Neodiprion lecontei: one gene and its partner. The protein of the gene in region 1 purifies or fractionates together with the protein of each later gene. This does not show direct contact. Links are inferred from orthologs where the notes say so. Each region holds a gene or a part of one and is shown in the gene's direction. Other genes may lie near its edges. The genes, in order: mitochondrial import inner membrane translocase subunit Tim16 and mitochondrial import inner membrane translocase subunit TIM14.

Region 1 (3,192 bases):
ATTGACATTCGACGACTATACACATTTGTATTGGAGGAACGGTTATGACCGAACAATAATTAGACGTAAAATCGTTCAAAGCTGCAGAAATATTACAGCGAATCGTAGAACCGTCGTTTCATTATTGAGATGAATCGAATTATTCCGAATTTTCGTCGCATACTTGGTGATAAAATTTTACGCACCCCCTTCTGATATTTATTCGTAAACAATATTCATCATCGTTTCGTACAAATCGTCGTGTCTCGGATCTCACGTCGATCGTCCGTACGTAGAATACCGTAAGAATTCAAATTCTCGGCTACTTCGTAGAGTAGAATTTAAAACAGCATACATCCACATATACGGACACTCTGACGCCGCCTCACTTTTTTTCATTGATAATTCAATTACCAGTCTAACTAAAATTCATCGTTGACAATATTAGCCGATCGTGGTTTTACCAATGTTCGGATAAAAATACGTGCAGGGCAATGCAATCGTCATATCGTAAAAAGGAAATCAATCCAAGTTTAGCGCACGTATGTTAATACTTATTCAACAATATTTAAGGTCGCACAATCTGCTCTTATATCCCTCCTGCGTTCGAAAGTTCAACCCTTTTTCGTTACCGAGTAGCGACTGGTTCGTACGGCCTCTAGTTACGGTACTGAAGGACATGCGGACCGACGGACGGACGGACGGTCGGTCGGTCGGTCGATCGAAGTAAAACCGAGGGCGCCACCTCGCCGCCAACCCCATTTACACACGACCCATACGACACGACCTATACGCGCGGCATATCGACATTATCGTTCGCAATACGCGGTGGTTCAAGGAGACGGAATGATTTCAACGCGCGCTTGTCGGAGATGGTATCTGGAGTTAACTTCAAGCCGATGGAATTACAAGGCGAGGGGGAACAACGTCGTGAATAACACCGTTTGACCGTTACTTTTAGAGAAATGCTAATTCGTGACGCGGCGCGGTCTTTCTCGACTTGCGCGTTGTGAAAATTTGACAACGGAGACGCGCAGTGACGTCAACGGTATATGAAAATTTAAATCCACGCCAAGGGGATTTGCCATGTAGAGTAGTAAAAGGAAAACACCCTTGCATAAAACGAGGAGAAATAAAAGAATAAGCCGCGCAATCTCTATTTCGGTATAACGTTGAGTAAAGCGAACGAACGAAATGTTTCCATCGCCTCTCGGAATTATGCATATCAACTGAAAGTACGAAAAGTACATTTCAGAATTTAATAACCGCTATGTCTTGGAATGGAATACTGGAAAATTAGATTCCGTAGCAGTGGCCGGTGATAAAGGAAAGTAATTTACCGGACATTGTAATTTTAGTTGCGTTTTTCTTTCCATCTTATTTCTCACCACGCCAATACGAACTATTATTTTTTATGACTCTTTGTTAGGAACGGTAAAAAATAAGTAGAGGATATTTATCGATTCATAGTTTAATTATGGAATGAGGATAAGACAACGAGATATGTGGAGAGAAAAAGAGGTTTGCGTAGCTGGAACAGTTCATCGATTCTCACGCTTCGAATTCCACAAACGTTCCACTTCTCACTATTTAGATCTTAACACCGTCTATCGATATAGTTGTTGCTTTCATTCACCGCAAAATTGTTAAACAAATATGTATTTTCATAGGACACAGTACCGTTTATATTTCTGTGCCAAATGTCTAATAAGATAACCTGGCGTATATCTGCTTCTCGGCCATATCGTTATAATAATACGTATAACGAAATGTGGCTATACGACGATACTTAGATATAATTAACGACGGACGACGATTTCAGTTAATTGAATTCAAAGTGTTTACCCGCCGCAGATAATCGAATCCGAAACCCTCGATTACAGGGTAATTGGAATCGACACGATGCGATCGATGAAACCTGTACGCGAAGCTCGAATCATCGGACTCGTTTTCGGTTCACTCAGCGGCCAGCATTCAAATTCACGCCATGGCGAAGTGTGCCAAAAGTGAGGTTAGGTCGCCAATGGTGTCGTAACGAACGAGTCACTTCACCAGGTACAACTCGATACAACAGTGACATTTAGAAGGTTAGGATTTACTTCAAAACCTACTTACAGGTTACGCGAAGTGACAATTTATACCTGTGACTCCTCTGCAGGAGACAAATCCGAGGCGATGGCTAAATACCTGGCGCAGATAATCGTCCTGGGAACACAGGTCGTGGGTCGAGCATTTGCGCGTGCTCTTCGTCAGGAAATATCGGCTAGCCAAGAGGCAGCTAAGAGAGCTGGCGGCGGTGCTCAAGGTAGAGAAAGAGCTGCCGCGAACGCCAGGACTGGTCTAACTTTGGATGAGGCGCTGCGCATCATGAACATGGAGAGTCTCAAGGACAAGGAAGCGTTGGAACGTAATTACAAATATTTAATGGAGGCTAACGACAAGTCGAAAGGTGGATCGTTCTATCTTCAGTCAAAAGTCTTCAGAGCCAAGGAACGCATAGACGAAGAATTGAAGAATCAGGAACCACCTGGCCCTGACCCTCATAAAAAGAGCAAAGAAACTTAGCCCATTTAGCATCTAGTCTTTCAAATCTATCGCTGTTATGCCTGTATATATTAATTAATAATAAACGGTAATAGATATGTGACATCTATGTTGTCGCGTTCTTTTTTTAGATATCATGAATATATCGCTTAGAGTTGGCTTAACAAGGAATTTGCGTTACAGAAATATAGATGCACTTGCAAAGACCAAATAACTGATGCAATATGTGGGACTAACTTTCACATCATATCATGAGACATCAGAGTTATTTTACTCACTAGTCAGCTGTTGCTGATTGCAAGTTATAAAGAATGTAACGTGAATAAATGATGTGCAGGAAAAAAAAATAAAAACATGTAGTAACCGCAGGGAATATTATATTCTAAAAATAATCGGTTATTTACGTAGGAAATGTCACGTTTACGCATGGCAGCTGATCTTTTGGTCGTTTTCAAGTATCCCGGCCAATTTCGCATCTTGTGGTTCTATCCTGCGTTGCTGTAGACGGATTAGTAGACGCTCCTGATTGTGGCAGACTGACCACAATTCGGGCATATACTTTGGCTCCATTGCTGATAAAAAGTGCTCTCTCCAAAGCTGTTCCAACTCGACAAGACCGCCAGGTTGACTTTCAAAATGCTCTACAACCTGTATAAATTTCGTGTCATT
Region 2 (3,891 bases), on another chromosome or scaffold:
TTGTAAACATGAACCAGGAACCACGGAGCGCTTATCCTGGAAGTCGAGAAATTTTATTAGCGGACTGACAGCTACCGAATATGGGCTTGCGCGAAAAACGAATTAAAATAATTTATTGTAAACATGAACCAGGAACCACGGAGCGCTTATCCTGGAAGTCGAGAAATTTTATTAGCGGACTGACAGCTACTGAATATGGGCTTGCGCGAAAAACGAATTGAAATAATTTATTGTAAACATGAACCAGGAACCACGGAGCGCTCATCCTGGAAGTCGAGAAATTTTATTAGCGGACTGACAGCTACCGAATATGGGCTTGCGCGAAAAACGAATTGAAATAATTTATTGTAAACATGAACCAGGAACCACGGAGCGCTTATCCTGGAAGTCGAGAAATTTTATTAGCGGACTGGCAGCTACCGAATTTGGGGTTGCGCGAAAAACGAATTCAAATAATTTATTGTAAACATGAACCAGGAACCACGGAGCGCTTATCCTGGAAGTCGAGAAATTTTATTAGCGGACTGACAGCTACCGAATTTGGGGTTGCGCGAAAAACGAATTGAAATAATTTATTGTAAACATGAACCAGGAACCACGGAGCGCTTATCCTGGAAGTCGAGAAATTTTATTAGCGGACTGAAAGCTACTGAATATGGGCTTGCGCGAAAAACGAATTGAAATAATTTATTGTAAACATGAACCAGGAACCACGGAGCGCTTATCCTGGAAGTCGAGTTTCATCGCGTAGCGGACCCGAAGCGCGGGATCCGGGAGGTTGAGAACCCGGTACTCGAAATACGTAGCGGACCCGAAGCGCGGGATCCGGGAGGTTGAGAACCCGGTACTCGAAATTTGCGGAGCGCGACTCTCATGCGTCCGCTCTACTGCGCGGTTGTTTCCCGACTGAGGAATTCGGCTAGCTGATTTTGAATTGGTGACGTCACTTTCTGAACATCCGACATCTAAACTTTGGTTTCGAACTTTGATACTATGTATGATGATGTATGATGTATGATGTATGATGTATGATGTGTGATGATATGATATAATGTATGATGTATGATGTATGATGTACGATGATATGATATGATGTATAATGATTTTAGTTTTCACATTTCATACAAGAAATACGCACTTTATCTCTCCTGCCGATTCCAGACTCAAGCGGCCAGGCCCTTCGATGGTCAGCCGTTGACTGAAGATATATCCTTCAGTTAACGGGTCAGCTGATAACGCTGCCGTTCTGCGACAGTTGGACGATGAAAAATTTTGCTCTTATCTTTCAAATGTGTGTTAAAATACACTCGAAGTGTTAAGAAGCTTCGTTCTTTCTCTCCCTATCACCTTTTCAGGTCTTTCAATCACTACGCAGCGTTAAATACCGTCTCATATACGAAGCATCCATTTCATCTCGTTCAAAATCAGCGCATCCGTGATGTATTACAGTTACTTTGAATTTTTTTCCATCCGAATACTTTACGAAAAATAATTCTGTTTCTCTACCCAACGTAGATACTTCACTTGCGACTAGCTAAAACAGCGTTTCGATTCTATGCCTATGAAAATTCAAGATCGAGAGAGCAAATGAAAAGTTGTTGGAATAATTATGAATACTAATGTTATGGAATACATCGAGCGCGCGTCGAATAGAATACCATTCCGAAATGAATAATTCTAGTATTTTCATATTATAGACGTATTACTGTAGGTAATCTAGTTTGTCTCCTGGAAAATTATAAAATTTATCGTATGCATTACGTATTAATCGAGAATGGATCATTTATATTAATATCGTACATGGACCGCATATACATATGTACTTGTTGGTCTCTGCATCATTATTACATCTGATCTATCATTATTCATGATCTATGTATACATTCTTCTCTCGGGTACCTATACTTTAATTAAATCACCGGAAACTTTGTGCCTTGAAATCGACCTCAATTTTCTAGGCAGATTGTACTCCGCGGAGACCAGAGAAGAGGGAGAAGAGCAGTAGCCTATCACTTCCTCAGCCGTATAAACACGTATAAAGGACATAGTCGGCTTGGGCGCATTGCGCACGTCATGTCGTCGCGGCATTCTAACCTTAAATTTTAGATGAACACCTCTGCATTGCTACATATATTGCATTTATTGCAAACGCAAATTGCCTACTGTTATTTACATCCACGGGATGCTACATTGCAACCGTAAATTAGGTTAATTGTACTGCTAGGATTATAAGTGTATCCAAAACAGAATTTGTCCTAATTATTTCGTATTTTACCATACCCAAGATAAATATCAGGAGCTCGAAGAATGGTGAGAAAAGCAGAGATCATTTTCGAAATATAAAATTATCTTCAACTTTTCAAACACGCAGAATTTACATTTTCTGACAATCTTGAAATTGTCTTTTTATATTTATTGCGACTGTTTCATGATATCTAAATTTCATTTCAACACCAATTCTGTCCGAGCGTGAGCTAGACTTTCGAATATTCATGTATTGTATTAGTTTTGCTTATCGCAAATATTTACTCTATTGATTCTGCGTACTTAAAAGAAACCCTCTATTTGGATTTTGTCTTTTTTATCCAAACGAACATTTACATTTTATTAACATTAACTAGTCTTAGGTTCAAGACGACCCTACATTATATTGCGATCCAAAGTAACACAATTAATTTCACAGTCTACTACAGTGATCGTTGCGGGACTAGGGTTGGCTGCTGTTGGTTTTGCTGGACGTTACATTGTTAGAGCCATGCCGACGCTGTCCCAAAAGATGGCTGAGGCAGTTAAGGGCATGCCCAAACTCGACGCACAGGTAAGAATGAATTCATGTATGTTGTATAGCACATGAAGCACAATTTAACCTGAGGGTTTGAAAGATTGGATTTTGAGCAATGATGATGCTGCTCGATGTGGTTTCAATGATTCTGATCAATTTATTTGGCATTCTGAAAGTACTTGTACACAGAGATGTGAATTATCTAGATTTTCATTTTGGACTATGTTTATTTTTCAGTCACTTGCAAACAGTCGGTACTACAAAGGAGGATTTGAACCCAAAATGACGAAAAGAGAAGCCAGCCTTATCTTGGGAGTATCACCGACCGCCAGCAAGTCTAAAATTAAAGAACATTTTATGAAAGTTATGTCTGCCAATCATCCGGATCGAGGTGGTTCACCGTACTTAGCTGCTAAAATTAATGAAGCCAAGGATCTACTTGAAAAATAGTATTTTCAGTTATATAGCTATTAGTATTCTAATTAATTTCAAATAGTATCATTGAATGCAAACCAAATTTGAGCATACTATTTCAAATTGATTTGCGACTTATGTATAGATCAATTTAAATAGGAATAAATAATTATTTTTTGGACATTGAAGAACATTCCTTATTTCCCAATCTCATTAGAGGTTTCGAAAACGTCGTTGAATTATGAACAATAGTAGTATTTACAAATCAGGGTACTACATGTAGCGTAATGTAATGCCTTTATGCTTAGATTTTATTCGTCGATTTATTGCAGCAATAATTGTTCGGCAATTCGTGCTAAATTTTCGATATTATGGAACCTGTAAACCATAAAAATCATTTTCGTTAGAATTATAGAAAGTTGCTCACACATTTTTATCATAAAAAACGTCAAAGCAAATTTGATTGGACAAAGATTATCAAAAAGTATGATATACCAGTAGAGATGCTAATTAATAGAGCACCGTATTTTTTGCACTCATATACTTCAGCATTTAAACAGAATAATAAAATTATTTCTAAGTCAAGGAAGTACACAGAATGGTATATCTTACCTGTCGATGCCATCCATACAGTTTGAATCATTGTTTGTGAATTGTTTAATTGGGTATATTACAGGATTTTCGCTTCTGGTTTA

What was found.
Region 2: the proteins of mitochondrial import inner membrane translocase subunit Tim16 (region 1) and mitochondrial import inner membrane translocase subunit TIM14 purify together in Homo sapiens (affinity purification with mass spectrometry; 3 studies listed by BioGRID and IntAct, with this or other methods). This does not show direct contact. The link is inferred for Neodiprion lecontei from reciprocal best matches to the Homo sapiens genes PAM16 and DNAJC19.

Annotation. Positions count from the first base shown.
Region 1 is NC_060265.1:28,102,131-28,105,322, reverse strand, and holds mitochondrial import inner membrane translocase subunit Tim16, read left to right. Parts: upstream 1-1,828; 5' UTR 1,829-2,034; exon of another isoform or gene 2,035-2,066; intron 2,067-2,096; 5' UTR 2,097-2,154; coding exon 2,155-2,544; 3' UTR 2,545-2,626; downstream 2,627-3,192. Other genes in the region: exonuclease 3'-5' domain-containing protein 2, read right to left, coding at 2,944-3,171. UniProt on the Homo sapiens protein: Regulates ATP-dependent protein translocation into the mitochondrial matrix. Inhibits DNAJC19 stimulation of HSPA9/Mortalin ATPase activity.
Region 2 is NC_060263.1:26,439,775-26,443,665, reverse strand, and holds mitochondrial import inner membrane translocase subunit TIM14, read left to right. Parts: upstream 1-2,040; 5' UTR 2,041-2,307; coding exon 2,308-2,310; intron 2,311-2,683; coding exon 2,684-2,818; intron 2,819-3,019; coding exon 3,020-3,232; 3' UTR 3,233-3,377; downstream 3,378-3,891. UniProt on the Homo sapiens protein: Mitochondrial co-chaperone which forms a complex with prohibitins to regulate cardiolipin remodeling.